Linked DNA regions of Rhinolophus ferrumequinum. The protein of the gene in region 2 binds, or shares a complex with, the protein of the main gene of each other region. Links are inferred from orthologs where the notes say so. Each region holds a gene or a part of one and is shown on either strand. Other genes may lie near its edges. The genes, in order: VPS41 and VPS39.

Region 1 (9,246 bases), on a different chromosome or scaffold from region 2:
TCCAGTGCCAGACTTCTTTTAGCTTCAAAACTAAATAACCAGCTGTCTGCTGGACATTCTTTTTCAAGTCAATAAGGAAAAGATCAATTTCCCAACAGAAAATGAGTAAAGAGCAAGAATAGAAATGCAGAAAATAATTGAAAATGGTGAGCAAATTTATGAAAAATATCAATTTATCAAAATTCAAAGAAATACACATTACAACAAAAAGTAAAATACTATTTCCCATCAAAATTAATTGATGACGTTTTAAAGAAAATGATAATATCTAATGTTTGATGGTAGGAGAGTATAGAGATCTCATATATAACTCTTGGGAATATAAATTCTGAGAGATGGAATCTACAAACAGACAATGGCCAGACCATATATAAAAACCAAACTCTGACCAACAATCTGCAGCAAACTGCTCAGGAAACCAACCCTTTATCTACAATAACCAGCTGTGGAAGCCAGACTGCTATTCAGGCAGACTTGCAGGAAGCCAGACTGCTATGTCTAGTAACACTCCCGGAAGCTAAACAAAAACTTCTGTAACAATCAGCCCAAAGTGGCCAGTACTCGATTAATATAACAAAGAGCTTCCTTAATCTTTATCCCCACTTTCAACTTAGGACCAACCTGAAAAAGCTAAATACGGTGTCCCGTAACTAATCACACAGGACACCGCCCTCATAGTTAGCTTGTTACAGCTTCCCCATGTCAACAGCCTCCAATCCAGGCACACCTGAAACCTTCCCTTTTTTCCACTATAAAGCTTTCGCACTCCTGCCTGCCTTTGTGGCTGCCAAAACACAAGTGATGGTGGCTGACTTTTTTGCTAAAGCAGGTTTGGAATAAATAGCCTTGTATTTTTTCACTTGGTTGGTATTCATTTATTTCTACAATTGATACCACCTTTCATTAAAGCATCTGCCAAAATTATGTGCAAGGATATTAGATATACTCAAAGTATGAATCAAAAACAATGAATTATATAAATTATGGTATTTTCCTAGAATGAAATTTTAATGTGCACCATTAAATCACGATTTTGAACATTTTATAATGATATTGGGAAATGATCTTGAAATATAACTAAGTGAAGAAAGCAAATGACAAAACTTAATAATATGATTTTTGTTTTAAAAACTTCAAATAAACACAAAGAGAGGAGAGAGAGATAGAGGTAGAGGTAGAGATAGAGAGAAAAGAAATATATCCAACAATGATAATCTGAATGGAAAAATTATAAGTGGTTTTTGAATTTTACTTGTATTTTTCCAATTATCTGTCATGAATATGCATTACTTTTGTAATTAGAAAAATGGTCTTTAAAAAAATCTAGTGTGTTTGTACAGGGAAACTTCCAATAAGCTCTATGTTAAAATGATATCTAGAATATTAGAAGGTAACAGGTTTCAGTGGGTATAGGTTTTGGAAAACTAAACAGCAAAATAAGCTGAGTATTTCCAAAATTCCTAAAAATAACAAGTATTATTCTGGCTACTTGGGAGAGACAATTAAGGAAAGGCTAAAACCATTGCTTGGAGTCAGTAGTGTAATGTGGTGTAGCTGTGCTTGTCACTGGCTATCGAGAAAGATCGTTAGACTGGAAAAGGTAGCAATCTAAGAAGGAATGGAAGCTAAAGATTAGGAAAAGAATCTATAAATTACCACTTAATTATAAGTGATGTAGGGACAACTTTTTTTTTTACCTCACCTTTCCACTTTGCTGATTTTTTAAATTTAATAAATTTAGAAATACTGTCCTATAATGGAAAATATTGAAGCCATTCATATTGTTTAAACAATGAAGTAGGTTGTTATTAATAAAATTACAATTTATTGAATTAGTAAACTACTTCAGATCTATATAACAAATTAATGAGACAAATCCTTAAAAACCAGTGAAACTATAATGTTTTAGGTCTGGTTTGAAGTCTATTCCCAGTATTAGGTCCTAATGACTGCAAATGAGAAGTTGATTCTCACCTCTACCTCCATAGCTTGAAAGTGGGAGAGGTGAACTGATGATGCACAAGAAAGAAACAGGTGATTTGCCAGAGAATGAAAGATTCTTAGGCCTAACACTTCTCCTTCAACGTAAATATACCAAGGGATATAATTAAAACCCAGATTCTGGCTCAGTGGGTCTCTGGAGGGGCCCTGAACTCCTCATTTCTAATAAGCTCCCAAGTGAGATTGAGGTTGCTGGTCTGTGGACCACAGTCTGAGTAGCAGGAGCTAGACGACCTTCTAGAAAAGGGAACCCCAAACTTTCACGACAAAACATGGGGCTTGGAGGTCACATGTGAATTTCATCTTGCCCATGGGCCCAGGGTGAACCTTCTTGCCTCTAGGGGTTTCTTCCTCTAATTCATCTTTCCATATATGTGTTTCTTCATCTTTCTAGTCTGTCCAAAAGGAAATAGTAATAGATCCAAATGCTCATCATATTTTATTATAGTCAGAACACTGAATGGGGAACAGATTTGGGGGTATCCAGAGTCTTCGAGGTTGTGTGAGCAGGGGAGTACCTGCAGTGACCTTCGGCTAAATCTTCAGTCAGGCCCACTAGACGTTTATTTATGGGTAGGTCTATCTCAAAATGGAAAAAGGGAAAATTACAGTTTGTGAAGAAAGTTAGAAAAGTAGAAGGTTTAAGCTTATTTCTTTTTCCTCTGGAGACTTGACTGGGGGTTTCCAGAGCCTGTTTGGTCTATATAAGAGTCTTTGTGGGACTTGGAACCCATCATGAGCAATATTTGGTCCTGGGCTGCTTTGCAAGAGAGCTTAATGTATTAGGTGCTTGGCTATGGATATCTAAATGCCTTGGGGTTGGTCTATCTGTTCATTCCCTTGTGATCAAGTGATCAGCAGACTGGAAGAGGGACCCCCACAAGGGTTGGAGGAAGAGGATAGAAATGAGGCCGTTTAGGCCCTGGGGAGAAGACAAATATCTCAGATAAGGTCATCCTCGTCATGAGAATCATGGGTTGATCAGTGTGGGGACAGAGCCCCAGAGAGCAGTGTCCAGGCTCTCGGCCCCATGTGGAAAGGTGCTGGCTCAGGTAGTAGATGGCCATCAGCTGTGGCTGGTTGGCCGTCAGCTGTAACCATTGAGCCATTGGCCACTAATATAACTGCCGCGGCTACGGAGGGAAGTCGAGGAGAGAGGAGGAGATTGAAGGAGAGTGGAGGAGAGTCGGTCGGTTGGCAGCAAAGCGGACAGCAGGTCGCATGTCGTGTAAACCCAGCGAGACCATAGTGGTATGACTTCCCTACCTATGGCTCCGTGGGTGTTCCTTTTTGGCCTAGCCATATCCTGCGTTCTTGTGTGGGGAGTGGGACCAGAGACCCCTCATGCCACCCTGCATGACAATCAGGCTACAGCTAGAGACCTGGAAAGCACAGAGTGCTGAGACCATGACTTCCAACTAGGTGTGAGTCAATTAGCTCAGCGAGTCAAAAAGGGCACTGGGCACATACCACATGCTGCCATTTGTGATGCCCTCTGCTAGTTACCAGTTACTGGACATGCGTGGAAAGAAGAAAATGCCTGTCTTTGGACAAGATACTGCAAATTCCTGAGGATTAGGAAGGAGAGTTCAAAGTGCACAGAAAATGGAGATGAAATCATTCATGCGCAAGGATGGACGTAATACAGTGGTTTTGAGGCAGGATAGATAGCCTAGGGTATTGACCCTCTCTCCAGGACACTGAATGAGGCACATCCCTTCAAGGAAGTAAAACAGGAAACTGAACTGCACCTGACACCTGCGGTTAGAGATAAACAAGAATTAGTTTCATCTGGCAGGGACATTATCCATGACCCAAGCCTAACCTTTAGCTAATTTTAATGTCATTTACACTGTATTTGCCTCGACTCCCATCATACACCTGACGTCATGACAGTTCCAGAGGAACCAAATAAGGACAAAAAGGAGGAAAACGAAGATCCCATCCCTAGAGAGGAGACAGGATGATGTCCTTAAATTCCTGCCCCCTCAGGAAGATAAAAACCCTAATCAAGACCTTCTAGGGTGACTCGATTTCTGAGTTCACCTGCACTTCCCTCTCAACTGTTTACTTTTGCTTTGATAAACTCCCTGTGTTTTCCTGCATCTGTCTTGCTCCTGAATTATTTCCCATGTGAAGAAGAGAAGCTGGTTTTTGCTCCTAGTGGATCTGCTTCGGGACATACTGGGAACCTCCGGCATCAGTTTTACATATTTTAGCAAGGACAAATTTTTATTCTATATTGAATATTTACCTATAGAATATACTCAATAAAAGTTTAACCTATAATTTAATTAAACAACAGAGAATTGTTTACTATCAAATGTCCAGATGCCAGATGTCAACTTACGGTAACAAGAAGTAGGAGCTAAATAAATATTTTTGGAGTATAAATTGTTCTTTGGTCTTCCTTCGTGAAGACTGCTTTATATTCACTTAATATACATAAAAAACAAGGGCAAGAACATTTTTAGACTAAGCAGCATTTGGTAATTAAGTCTTTGGCATTAGATGAGACCAAATTTGAATCCTGTTGCTGTCTCTTACTTAGCTGTCTGACCTCTGAGGCACCATATTCTCCTCTATAAATGGGGATAATAGTGGGAATTGCTGGGAGGATTAAATGAGATAATTCATGTAAAGCTGTAAATCCAAGGTCTAATACACAGTATATATTAATAAAAACTATAACAATCACGGAAAAAATAAGACCATCAATAAAATAGAGCATTATTAGTGGTTATGTTCAGATTCTCCAAAGCATAACTTCATTGAGCTTGGAGAGCTGAAAGCAGAAACAAGGCCCAATAGCCTCACCAGCTAGAAAAGACATCCTGGCTCACATGCTGCTAAAACTACATTTCCCAGCAGGCGCGGGGCCCAGTTGTCCCGTTTTCTCTCATTTCCGGGTCTGTCACGTGATTCTCCGGCTGCACCATGGCGGAAGCAGAGGAACAGGTAAAGGCTGCAACTGCCGGGCATGGAAAGAGGAGACCAGGGTGAGGTGGTCGGGGGTCTGGAGTGGAGCGTGTGGAGGTGCGGAGCTGCTGGAGGCCGAGGCGGCCCACTGCGCGGTTGGCGGTCAGCGAAAGGCCATTTCGGGAGCAGAGAAACGGGCGGGATACCAGCTCTTGGAGGGCGCCGGGGAAAGCTCACCGACAAACTCCCGGCGTCTTGAGGCGGCCCGTTTTTTGGGGGGCGGGGGCTTTGGGGGGACTCTGTCCCTGTGGCCTGTGCTCGGTGAAATTTTGGCTTGAAGGCAGCCTGGGCTCCCAGGGACTGACTGCCCGTGGGAGATGTAAGAGATGACTTGAGCTCCAGGCCAGGTGACTGAAATATAAATTCCTTTCCACTCGAAGCAGAACAGGGAGAGCCGATTTGCAGGAGGGTTGGGAGAGAGTAGATGAGTTTTGTTTCGTATCTATTGCATTTAGGTGCAAAGCTAAGTCACCATGGCTGGTGTCTTTCTTAATATGTAACTTTCGGCTAGTTATTTTTTACTTTGTAATTTAACTTTAAAATACAAGGTGGAGATAATAACAATGTCGTCCTTCAAGGGTGGTGTAAGTTGGAATGAGTTAGTACACAAAGTTAAAGTGCTCAGTAAAAGTTGGGCATAGTAAAGGTTAGGAGGAAGTATTGTTTCTGGTAGGACATCAGATGGCAGTGTCATCTAATGTCCAGTCAGAACCTAGCCATGTGGCACTGGAGTTTAGGGTAGAATTTAGTGAGGGCGGTAGTTATTTTCATACAGGCAGTATGGGCAGGCAGACATTAGTTGAAATGACAAAGTAACATAAAAAAGACAAAAAGAGCAGAGGCCAGAACCTGGGGAAATACCTGTTTCCATCTCCAGGGTCATGTCAGCTCAGCACTGTTTTCCCTCACAGATTAACAGGCCATCAGTTTCCATAATTGCCTCTAAGAAGTGGTTTGATGATGAGCTGTTTAGTACTGTAAGAACAGAAGTTTACCTCGTCCATAATTTGTACCATTTGCAATATACTTCATTTACATAATGAAAATTTGCCCTGTGTACATTGATTTATGCCAATAATCGAGAAATTAGGTATAGATTTGGTTTGGGTGGTCATTGTGATAACTTAAGAGTCTCCTCCTTGCCACTGGAGCCTCCCTTTTCTGTTCCAAGCGGTTCGAAGGAAAAGGCTCATTAAGCACTCGTAACTTCATGACTCATTGCTGGTTTTCATATTTCATTTTGAAATGTAATTTTTTAGTGGTTTGATTTAAAAGCCAAAAACCAAACTCCTTATGTTCTTAGGTATAGAGTGGTAGAAATGGAGAGAATTGCCCTTAGGATTTACTGTTGTTTTGTGCAGAAGAGTTCGACAAAGCTGTCTGATGTAGAAAGACATGTAGAAAGTTAGCGATAAAATAAGAATGCTTTGAATTTTCACAGCACTTTTCAGTTTAAAGAACACTTTCACATTACATTTGTTCCTCACAAAAGAATTCTGTGTGGTGTTTATTCTGATGTATAAGTCAGGAAAAGCACTGTGTTCTAAACCTTCCAGTGGTGTCTTATTGCACTGAGGAAAAGCTTGAATCCTGGTAACGGCCTATTTGCCCTATAGGTCTTTGCCCCAGTTGCTCTACTATCCCTCTTCTCTGATCTCATTTTACACTAGTGTTCTTCCCTTTTGTCACTTTGCATCAGCTATACTGGCTTTCTTTCTGTTCCTTTAACAATGCTGGCATGTTTCTACCTAAGGACCTTTGCTCATGCTGCTCCCTTTTTTGACCCCAGATATCTACAGGGCTTCCTCCCTCGTTTTCTTCATATCTTTGTCCAAGTGTTACCTTTTTGAGTGAGAACTTCCCTGACCATTCTTTGAAATCTCTTTCCTGCATTATTTTTCTCCTTAGCAGTCATCGTCCTTTTTCCCCCTGTATGTTTCTGTATTCATTTCTGTATATTCTCCCCATTAGAATGTAAGATTCCTGATGGCAAGGATTTGTTCACTGCTGTATGCCTGACACTTAAGAGTCATGCTTGATGCTCAATAAGTGTAAAATGACTGAATATTAAAGATAAACATACTGAGATTCAGACAACTTAAATAACTTGCTCAGACTTGTTTGTATAACAAATCTCATCTTTTATCTTCAGAGCTTTTCCCTAGAACACCCTGCCTTTTAAAAAATATTTAAGAACCTAATTCTAAATTATGTTTTTTACTTTATGAAGTAGAATTAGCCCTTATCACCTTCATAAATTTCCTTCAAGTCATTATTTCATCTTTGATGTTTTAACCGCAACATATGGTTAGAGCAGACATTCACCCCTCCTTCCCACCTCCAGTGGTGTCATTGTCATTTTCAAAAAGACCAGTAGCCTATTGTCAATAGCAGGAAGGAACAAACATTCACAAATATTGTTTTGTTCTTTTTTAAAGAAAAGTAGTAAATAATTGTACCTATGTTATCAGTCCTTTATGGATTAAAAATGGTTAAACTTTTCTCTGCTTTATTTGTGTATTTTGCATTAAAATCTGACCAAGAACCTTTTAGAAAATCTTGACATAACTTTCCTCTCTCCCCTGAATGCTTTAAAAAGTGAGATGATTTTTAGAAGTAACTGTGATGACAGGTTAGGGAAAAGGAAGCTTTTTTCCGTTGGCACCTTGTACTATAAATGCAAACAAAACTAGAAGATGATGAGCAAGACTAAGCCTCTCCCGTTAACTTTTCTGAGCATTGTATTCTTTGATGATTGCTTTTTATCCCCCTTTAATTTTTGGAAGAATCAAAATAGATCTGTGTACTGAGTGAATTAACAAAATGTAAAACAGTTCATAGACTGTCAAACTAAAAATCACTTTATGGATATGAATGAACATTTTTAAAGAATTATCAGGAAACCTTTGTTTATGCTGAGTATAGTAAAGGTAGTTCACAAAAATAACTACACGAATGTTATATAGTTTACAGGAAGAACTAATACCCTGCCTTCTGCCTGGAAATCTTCTAAACAGCAGTTTTACCTTGCACCAAAATGATTTATAGTTGACCTTCATATACAGATGCCCAACAGTATTTGTCCATACCTCTCTTATGAATAACATTCTGCTTGAAGTCTGGATGTTTGTGTATTTGTCTTATCTCTTCTGCAGATTGCTGAGTCCTCAAGAAGAAGGACGAGAGCTTACTCATGTCTGTATTTCTCATAGAGCTAGTGCTTTACAGGTACTAGGTGCTTAGTAAAATGTTTAAATGAATTTATTAAGGATAGAATGACCTTCTGAATTGAAAATGTCAAATTGTAAGTGAGGTTTTAGTAGGATGTATGTTGTTATTTTTCTTGAAACTTTTGAAAATTATTAATTCAGATGTATTGTAGATTACATTCCCTACACGTCTTACTCTGCCAGCTCCCCAGGTACCCTTTCAAACAGTAGGGAGCCTTGTCCGAGCCTCGTCCTTTAAATATTTGCTCATTTAGACCATCTATTTCTTCACCGAATAGGAGAGTTTCTGTTTTGAAGTCTCCCTCTTTGCTTTAGAAATGAGAGAAATGCGTCCTTATCGTAGAGCATTTGCAGATTGTCAGAGACATGTTCATGAGCACATACCCTTCCATGTATAAAAGAAAAATCGACACATATTTGAGCGCCTTAGTTTTCTTGTCTGTAAACTGAGTATTCTACTCTCCAGGACTCTTGTGAGTATGACATGAGATAAAACTTTTTTTTTTTAATTTTATTGGGGAATATTGGGGAACTGTGTGCTTCTCCAGGGCCCATCAGCTCCAAGTCGTTGTCCTTCAATCTAGTTGTGGAGGGTGCAGCTCAGCTCCAAGTCCATTCCCGTTTTCAATTTTTAGTTGCAAGGGGCGCAGCCCACCATCCCGTGTGGGAATTGAACCCGCAACCTTGTTGAGAGCTTGTGCTCTAACCAACTGACCACCTGGCTGCCCGAGATAAAGCATTTTAAAGTGGCCAGATTGAAATGGTTGTCTTTAAATAGTACAACGATTTATAATCCAAATGTGGGCTTGGCTTAGGTATGCACGAATCTCTTTTCTTACAGTTTGGCTAAGACACACCTATTAAGAGCAACTTTACTAATAACTAAAGGAAAAAGAAAGCCCCAAACAAGAAGGTGCAAAAGCACAGGGTCAGAAATTTTTAGGGGGCCCACTCTTCACCATTGTGTAACTATAGTCACGAGTTAGCTTAGCTGCACATGCTTATTGCCTTGTTAAGTTTTCCTCTCATATTTGTC
Region 2 (10,093 bases):
GTGTATGCAAAACACAGGCTGAGAAGCCTGCAGAGCAGGCACAACACCAGGCAAACAGCCCCTTCTGAGACTCAACAGTGCAAATCAGCAAGTGGAACACCCCACACAAATAAGTAACACACACATCCACAAATGAGAGCCAGCCCTTGAAAATTCCTGGCGGCCTAATCCTGAATCACAAGGCTGGACCTGATCCCTCCTGGGAAGTGAGTAAGGCTGGGCCCTCTTGCTTATAATTACCCTATTGAAACTCTGTCCAGCAGCGCAACCCAGCCCAACCTCATGTGATAAACAATTCCACTCCTGGCCCAGTGCTGGCCACTGCAGGGAGTAAGCTGGGGGTCACGTCCCTTCTTTGGGTCATAGGGCAAAGACCAGTGTTTCTCAAAGCATAAGTCCCTGATGAGCCACAGCAGAATCACTGGGACTTATTAAAAAGGCACATTCCCGAGCCCCGCTCCCAGAGACTGTCTGACTCAAGGATGCTGAGGTGGTGGCCTGAAATTTGCATTTTTTAATTAAAATTTTTCTTTATAGGAGACATTTATGTAGTTCCAAAGCTAAAACTGTGAGAAGTCTAAAACTGTGAGACCCTGCTCTCTCCCTTCCGCTATAGATAACCATTTTGGTAATTTTTGATTTATCTTTCCATTGTTTCTTTGGATGCTATAAGCAAATATAATTGTGTATACACACATAGATACACACACACACACACACACACACACACATTTGCATTTTTTTTACAGGCTCTGAATATACATTAAAGTTTGGGAACCAGGCTCTAGAATCAAACATGATTTACTGGATATGAGACCTTGAAAAATTTATTTAAATTCTCAGGTTCTTTCTCTGCAAAATGGAGTTATTATTCTATAAAAGCTCAATGTGATTAGTACTCAATAAATGGAAACTATCACTATTAATATTATTATTAGTTAAACAAATATTTAATGAATACCTATTATGAGTCAGGAACTGTACTAGGCACTGCAAATAAAGAATATAGAAAACAAAGTCCCTGCTCTGAAGGAATTTATATTCTAATATAGAGTGAGGGAGACAATAATAATATGTAAAATAGCATTAGGTGGCAATGCATGTTAAGAAGAAAGATAAGGTTTGAGTAAGAGAATAGCACATTTGGTGGATGTGGCATTCTCTTTAATACAGGTAACCAGGGAAGGTCTTGCTGATTTATGTGACATTTCAGCAGAGACCTGAATGAAATGAAGAATGAGCCATGAAATATCTAGTGCAAGAGAGTGCCAGGCAGAGTAAACAGCAAGTGCAAAGGCCCTGAGGTCAGTATGTGCTTTGTGTGTTCATGGAACAAAGAAGACCATATGACTAGTACCAGAAAGGCACAAGGGGTAAGAGCATAGGAGATGAAGTCAGGGAAGTAACCAGAGGTCCGATCATGTTAGGTTTAGCCAGCCATGGTAAGGACTTTGGAACATATTCTAGTAATGATGGGAAGCTACTGAAGGGTTCTGAGCAGAGAAGAAATGTGATTAGATTAAGTTTTCAAAGGATCGCTCTACTTCTACGTGGATAAAACACTACGTGGAGGGCTGGCCTGGTGGCTCAGCTCCATGCTCCTAACTCCGAAGGCTGCCGGTTCGATTCCCACATTGGCCAGTGGGCTCTCAACCACAAGGCTGCCAGTTCGATTCCTCAACTCCCTCAAGGGATGGTGGGCTCCGCCCCCTGCAACTAAGATTGAACACGACACCTTGAGCTGAGCTGCCTCCTGGATGGCTCAGTTGGTTGGAGCGCGTCCTCTCAACCACAAGGTTGATGGTTCAACTCCCGCAAGGGATGGTGGGCTGTGCCCCCTGCAACTAGCAACGGCGACTGGACCTGGAGCTGAGCTGCGCCCGACACAACTAAGACTGAAAGGACAACATGAAGCTGAACGGCACCCTCCACAACTAAGATTGAAAGGACAACAACTTGACTTGGAAAACAGGCCTGGAAGTACACACTGTTCCCTAATAAAGTCCTGTTCCCCTTCCCCAATAAAATCTTCAGTAATTCAGATAAGAGAGAATAGTGGCTTCATCAAGAGTAGAAAAAGTGGAGATAGAACGACATGATTGGATTCTAGATTTATTCTGGAGGTGATGCAGACAAGATTTGCTGATGGATTGGATGTGATGTATAAGACAAAAAGAGAAGTCCAGAATGATTCCAAGATTTTCGGCCTTAGCCAGTGGGTAAATAGAAATGCTGTTTGCTGAGACGTGGGATACGGAGGGACAGACGTGGGATATGTTTGGGGAGAGTGTAATCGTCAAGAACTGTTCTGGCCATGCTACTAGACATCCAAATGAAGACGCTGAAAAGGCAGCTGCATTCTACAACACTGGAGTTTAGGGAGAAGTCATCATCATTAGTATCCTCATTTCCATTTCCCAGGAGACAGATTATGGTGTCTCAAGGCATTTTCCAGCTCATATATTGTCTGGCCCTGCATGATCTGGCTCCTGGAGCTTCCTGGATGAACTACAGGTAAAAGGAGTAACGACTAGAAAGAGCACTATTTAATGCTGCTAAAGTCTAACAATAAAGTAGTTTTGAGGCAGGAGGTGATAAATGGCCTCTTGCAGCCCAATACTTACCACAGCATCCTAGGGAGCAATGGGCATTTGTTTAGTGAGATCAAGGCAGGCCAAAGGCTACCTACCATTTCAAAACTGTCTTCCTGAAAAGCACAGACATAGGACTCTACTGTAACAACGTGGAGTTGGTGAGAGAGGCTGAAGACAGGTGTACTGCTAATCCCACAGGGTCTGAGTCAGGCATGTGACAAGCTACGCAGTGTGGTAAGCAGCTGCACCCATCCTTTTCAGAAGCCTATGTCCTAGGCAGAGTTCGGTACCCCTCCTCCAAGTTTCCCAATAGGCAGCATATAACCCTAGTATCATTTATTTTGTATCATAATTGCTTTATGTCTTTTTCCCCCCGTGTGTCCTAGAAGCACAGGCACTGTGTTTTTTTCATCCTTGTATTCCTGTCCCTAGCAGAGAGACTAGTCCATGCAGACCTAACACATATTTGATGAAGAAATAGGGGAATTCAGTCCCTCTGTGTGGTGTCAGGTCTTTCATTTAAAAAAAAAAAATTCTCCTTTCTTTTTAATTCTTACTGAGAGCATTTAATGACAGAAAATGGAGGCTTTCTTGAGCAACCTGGAGGAAGCAGGATTCTCTCCTTAACCCAAAGGACTAGGACAGTTTACTGTGGAGGTGTGATTTCCAAAGAGGCCCAAGGCTGATAAAGGCAGAAGGGGGGCACATTAACATGAAGACCTGTCGTGGAAGCGCCCTAAAGAAGAGGCCCTGAAGAACTCTGCAAGGCTGACGGTGGCACTGTCCACAGCTGCTGCACAACATGCCAGCCACCACGGAGATTCCACTAGGTCCATCACCAGTCCTTAGCTCAGTATGAGATCTGATGAAGGGTCCTGAGCCACCTTTTTAAGGCCCTTGATTTCTAGTACCTGGACATTATCAGGAAATACTGAAATTATTTGTGTGGTCTTTGGTGGCTGTTAGGCACAATTACTCATCGATAGGAGCATAATGTTCATAGTTAAGAGTCAAAGTTTAGACCCCTGAACCCTTTTGTATTCTGGAGTGTACTAGAAATAAAAGGGGCCTGACCCTGCTTTCTGCACTGGCCACTCCCGAGAGGATTATGCAAGTTTTTATGGGTTCGATTTCATGACAGCCTGGAGTGACGCTCCTGACCTACACTTAGGTAAGCTGGGCACTTTGAATATAAGGCAATCCACCACTGGGCTAGCTTAAGAGTTTAGAGTAACAACGTGAGTTACCTACAATAACGAGAAGTGAACGATTAATGATTCATCACTAAGGGGGTAAAAGGCATATGGCATCAACTAGTTCAACCCCCCCCCATCACCCACTCCCCCCAAAATCAGTGCAACACAATCATCTGGGTAAGTTCAAGTCCCTGATAAGCTGTATACTTTCCACTGCTTGTGCCTCCACACTAAAGACTTCTTGGAAATCGAAATGAGCCAAAGCTAAGTACAATTAAGAAGGAAAACTCAACTTCCAACTCTGCACCAAGAACAAGGGCAGGTGGAACGTCCCTAAAATGCCTGGGTCCCGAGGTAGCGCCAAAACGGCCCCACCGCCCTCGCTGTCTACAATGCTTTGCACTCCTTCATCTCAGGGCACTCTTCGACAGCGTCCAACAGAAGCCCATCCAGCCAAACGCCGTCCCCTTCCCCCGCCTCAGCCCCTTGGTCTTTCGGCTCACCCCAGGCAGCCAGACAGTCGATCTGCAGAGGTAGCTTTTCTAAGATCGGCACCGGCTCGAAGGCGTCATGCATGGCGACGAGCAGCGTCGCCTCGACAGTCTCACCCTGAGTGTACCCGGCCGGGCTCGTGGCCAGAACCAGGCTAAGAAGACGGCCGCCCAGAATCCGGCCAAGGACCCCAACTACAGGCCCTTCAACAACAGAGCCATCAACGCCGAACTTCCTGCTGTCTAAGCCCACCCCTTCCGCCGCCGAAGTCCCGCCCCTTCCGCCACTGCTCCCCACGCACCTTCAAGGAATGCACCAATGCTTGGGGTCTCCATTTCACCCTAGACTCCGAGTCTCTCCGTAGGGGAGTCCGAGCAGCCATTGGATTAACACGGAGAGGAAAATATCTTTATCTTAGAACTGTTTTAGGCAGTGTGGCGTGGTGAAAGAATTCAGGCTTTGGCGTCAGACCTGTGATGGAGATCTGCCATTTAGGAAATTCGCTGTGACGTTTAAACAATTTAATCTTCAGAGGACTTTTAAATTTCCTCGTCTGCAAAGTGGCAGTGTTGTCTACTTAGCTAGCGTTGTGAGAGCTTAGCAATGCCTGACACACTGAGCACTCAAGAAGTGGTAGTTTTAGTACTACCATTATCATCCCAGCTTTACCCTTGCATTTTAAAGGTTCCAGGCCAGTGGTTCTCAAAAGGGGGTCCCTAGACCAGCAGCATCAGCATCATCCTGGGAACTTGTTAGAAATACAGAGAAAGTCTCAGGCCTCTTTCTAGGCCTACTGAATCAGAAACTGCAGGGGGTAGGGGCAGGATGGGAGGTGTCCAGCAGTCTGTTTTAATAAGTCCCCCAGGTGAGTCCATGAACTTTAGAGAACCACAAGCAAGGATGATTTGTATCTGGCAATTCCGCCCTCCCCAGCCCCCAAAAAAAGCATCAAAAACAAACAAACAGGTATGTCATAAAAGTAAGCATTTTGGTTTAAAGCAAAAATATAAAAGAAAAAAGAGGTGAATTTATGATATGAAGTAAAAAAACTGGCCCTGGTTACTATTTTTATACAATGTCTGTTTCTTCATCTGTAAATGAGAAATATTGTCCCATCTTTAAATCAAATATTTTCAAGAAGTAAAAACCACAGAAATTGCTAAACAAATCTTGTGCTGTTTGATTTTTACCATAGAAACTGAACACCTTGAAATTTTAGAATTAGTTGCTATGCTGGAAGAAGGTCTAATACCTGGTAGTTCCAGGCCCAAGGACCAAGACTAAAATAAATGTAATACTATAAATGCCTTCTGAACCTATTCAGAAAAAAATGGTACAGTATATACATTCATAGTAACATTAAGAAATAACAGAAAGAATTATCAGGTCCCAGGCTACAGAATTTGTCCTACATACTCCTGCTTAACACAGGTTTTTTTTCTCCTAGTCCCAAGCCAACATCTAACCAGCCTCAAAAACTATTTAACCAGCTATCCTGCAGCATTATGAAGATCATTCATTTGCTAAGTTTTAGTATAGAAGAACACAAGCATACAACAGTTATATCAGCCTTTAGCAAAAGGTTAATCTGAGAATATAGTTAATTCCTAATAAGGTTCCTTAGGTGATTTTTTTTTTTAAAATCACGACAGCAAACAGCTAAAGAAAAATGTTACATCAATGTAAACACTTTCACATTAGTATGAGTTAATGAAGATTGCAGTCATGTGGGCCATTGGTTTCAACAGATGATACAGAATAAAAACCATAGAAGGAAAATCTCCCATGGGAGAAAGAAGGGTCTTTAAAGAAAGTTTGAAAAAAAAAAAGAGAAACACATTAATTTTGTTAAAATTTTTATATTAAAAAATGGCATGAACTTTCTATGTAGAACAAAACTCTTGGGAAGGGAAAAGTGGACAAAACCATTAAAACAGAAATATAGTGCTTCAAATGAATCCCATCACCTTGTGATGTCTCTTATAAACAGTCTCTAAACCAACACCAGATACAAGAACAGTCAATCCTACAGAATGAGCAGCAGTCCAGGGCCTCCACACTACGTCATGCAAAAAAACTGTTTAAGCCAGAAGGACCTGTTTCCTTTGTATTAGCTCCTGCTTCTGAAGAATTATAGTTCTTAGCAGGGCGCTCACTCACCAGCACTTAGAGTGCCTCTGTGCACCTAGTGCAACACCCAGTGAATGGCATGAAGGCAAACAAAGCACTGCCTAGGACTCAATGCTGCCTTGGAGGCTTACAAAACAGTAGTTACAAGTTCTGGAGTGTGCACCACATTGCCAGCAATGGGATCTGTCACAATAGCAGATGTCAAAAGAGTTAAGCTAATATTTCTCTCTCAAGTACATCTGAAATAGAAAAATCTTTAATATACACCATTTGTAAACAAAATTGCACTTGATTTTGCTTTTTTAAATGATCTGAATTACATTGTAACAGTTTCTTTCTCTCCCTTTTTTTTTTCTTTCTTTTAATCATTGCTAGAACCATGGCTCTTTAAGTCAGAAAGACTCTTTTTTCTTTTTTTTTTTCCCCTCAAAACTATCTCTGCAAGATGTAACCTTGGCTTCCCAGGAAATGGAAAGAACATTAGCAATTTCCCCAATCACCTATGTAACTCCCTAAATAAATAAAAATCACAGGCAGTTGCTCCTGGAGGTTACATATTATAGTGTTGATGCCGCAGTTCTTTAGAAGATGTTAAACTTTTTAGTTTGACAGATTAAACAATTTAAACATTATAGAAGGTTCAGGAACAACACACAGAAGTTGCATAAACGTCCATGTCAGGGTGTGGGAGGGAAAAGGGCATCAATGTTGTAAATTAAGAAACTTGTAGATTTTTCTCATCCCATGAACTTGTTTTCAGTAACATGTTCTCCTTGTTCTGACACCTCTCGCCAGCTCCCATGCACAAAGATCAAAGAACAGATCAGATGTCATTTCCTCCTTTAATCCCATGGAGCAGTGTAGAAGACTGACACAGAAGCTGATCTCTTCCCAGACAGTAGCCATCTTCAACTGCACAGCCTCCCATTCTTTACTCCATTTTGGACCTTTCAAAGTGTGTGATCATTCGTTCCTAGGGGAAAAAAAAAGGTTTATTCTAAGTACCTTAATTTTAAATGGTCTACATTCCAAATACCTTCTACATAGATCATGCACACATACATTTTCCACAAGTACTTGTTTAAGTTCATTAAATATTTAGACCAATGATTCCTAACCATCCAAGAAAATTTTAAAAGAGGGATATCCAGGCCCCACACAAAATTCAACTGAATCAAAATCTCTAGGCTTTCAGACATCAAACCACAAATCAAAATGAATTGTATGTTTTAGAGACAATTAAGATAATTAAACAAATGTTTACTTAAGATTAAACTTTGATGAAAATGTGTATTTGATTCAGAAATTTAACTTGAAGAAATAGTCAAGTATGTGGGCAAAGAGTTAGCCACAAGCATTTCTATGGTAACACTCAGAATTTCAACAAAATATTAGAAAGACTTAAGTGTCCAAAAATATGGGATTGTGTAAACACAGTATGATATATATCCATATAGTGGATATTATATAGTGAAATGTTATATACTGATTAAAATTACATTGATGAAAAAGTTCTAGAGATCTGTTACATAACAATGTACATATAGTTAACACTTTGCACTTGAGAATCATTAGGATGGTCATTTTATGTGCTTTTTACCACATTTTGTGAGGCGTTCCAAACGCTTTCTGAAATAAGAGACTCTAGAATAACCTTATATTCAGAACCTATCCAGAACTAGTTCCCAAGACTTTATTGTGAAGCTTTCCAGATGAACTGTGTAGAGGCATATTAAAGAATTAAAAATCAACATAAAAATTAGCGGTACTAACTTTAATCCTTAATATCTGAAGAGGATAGTGACATTAGTAACATTGAATGGTAGTAACTTAAATATCTTGCTTTGGTCTACTATACTCCTTTCTCAATACTTTTCTTCATTATTTTTGCTTAGATTAGATAAAGGTTAAATCTGAATATCTTAAGACGAAGAAATCAGAAAGCAGGACAGTATGGTATTTACTATCTAATTTAAACAAAGACATTCTCAAATCTGACCACATAACTTTGGAAAAGGGGGACATGTAAAGAAAACATTCGTGAATATCTGAGTTCTAATAAATGTCTATTCTCATCCTTTTTCAGTGATACTCTTACTGAATCAAATAAATAAAATCTCCCTGAAGAGAGGACTTATAGACTCCCTATTAAGTCATCAGACCCACAGTTTATGCACATGATTTGATTACTAACCTCATCTGAATCCAGAAGGGCTGGAAGTGCTCTACAGAGAGAAAAACACCAAATTGAATAATATAAAATAAAGCCGTAAGTGGTTCATAAAGGACAGTGGAATAATGATTTCAATTTAAAGCTTTTTTGTATAATTATCTAAGATTTGCATCTCATTAATGGCTCTTTCAGGTGGAGGGGGAAAGCAAATACAAAAGAAAGAAGCAAAGTTCCTGGAATTGTATAGAAAAAACAAAACATGTTCTGCATTGTAATAGGACCAATGTTTAATAAAATGACAGCCATAGAAAGGAACTCAAAAATTCCAAAAGAATTATCCTATTGATTTTGAAGATCTATAGCTAAATTTTTCTAAGCAGAAATGTCATCGAATAATCTTGATTACTTTTCTTTGTATATCATTCCTAATCTTTCATTGTTTAACATCTTTTTAACACTTTTAATTATTCTTTTAAGTAATTTAATCTTACATTTCTAAAGTTTACAAGCATTCTATTCTCTTAGTATATTCTTCAGCTCATTCATTAAAATAATAAAGGTAATACTAACTTTGAAATAAGATTTTTGTAATGATTCAGACTTACACATCTGTCACAGAAGAAGGAACATTCTCTTCTACCCACTTCAAATCATCTTCCTGCTAGAAACACACAAGTACCAATTGTTACTAAAATGAATAAAATAATATTTCAAGCAAAAATTTAAAGGTCTCAAAAATTTTAAATTTAATCTTTTGTCACTCTGAAATAGTATAGTCACATAATAAATGGGACTGCTAACAGAAAAATCAAATAATTAAAATGTAGAATGAATCCACAATTCTAAAAAAAAAAAAAAATCTGCTGACTAAAAAAATCTCGATCTTTACTACCAAAAAGACCTTAGGTTATCAATGAGGCTATGACTTCACTGACGAAAATCATTAAACAGAACCATCAGACTAGTCTGGTATCTTTTAATGACATAGTGCCAAACCATCAGTTAAAGATTGATAGGTCCTAAACAGAATCACTTGCTGTCTGTTTTTAAAATGTAAATGCAATATATATTAAAGGATTCATAAAAGTAGGCTTAATTATAGCATAGGAAAAGAAAATCATTAAGGCCTGTACATTACTGCTAAGCAGGAAGACAGAGCAAACAGGAAAGAAAAGAAGTCATACTTACTGCTTTGTTTACTTTAGTATTTCCATTTGGTTCTTGTTTAGTACTTCTCATTTTCATTCCTTCTGAAGAAGGAAAAAAAAGAGATTGGTTAACTATGTCAATAGACCAGCAATGATTGCAAAAATGGATTTACAGATTTATTTTAAGCTTACTGACATTGAATTATACAACAGTTGTTTCTCCATCTTTGTATTTATGCTGGGAAGATCAAAGCCAAATTTTTAGTTCATTTCTAGTAAGCAAAATGGACATTCAATGTGCATTTACTGAATTTACTATAGTGTCATCTTAAGATTCATACCTTTATTTTTGCTTCTCCC

Evidence for each region.
Region 1: VPS39 (region 2) and VPS41 share a complex: the UniProt entries of both Homo sapiens proteins name them as parts of the homotypic fusion and vacuole protein sorting (HOPS) complex. The link is inferred for Rhinolophus ferrumequinum from reciprocal best matches to the Homo sapiens genes VPS39 and VPS41.

Annotation. Positions count from the first base shown.
Region 1 is NC_046303.1:52,662,667-52,671,912, reverse strand, and holds the start of VPS41 (vacuolar protein sorting-associated protein 41 homolog), read left to right. Parts: upstream 1-4,899; 5' UTR 4,900-4,938; coding exon 4,939-4,959; intron 4,960-9,246. UniProt on the Homo sapiens protein: Plays a role in vesicle-mediated protein trafficking to lysosomal compartments including the endocytic membrane transport and autophagic pathways. Acts as a component of the HOPS endosomal tethering complex.
Region 2 is NC_046289.1:63,239,523-63,249,615, reverse strand, and holds the start of VPS39 (vam6/Vps39-like protein), read right to left. Parts: upstream 4,529-10,093; 5' UTR 4,367-4,528; coding exon 4,294-4,366; intron 1-4,293. Other genes in the region: TMEM87A (transmembrane protein 87A), read right to left, coding at 7,344-7,385, 8,607-8,637, 9,191-9,246, 9,774-9,835. UniProt on the Homo sapiens protein: Regulator of TGF-beta/activin signaling, inhibiting SMAD3- and activating SMAD2-dependent transcription.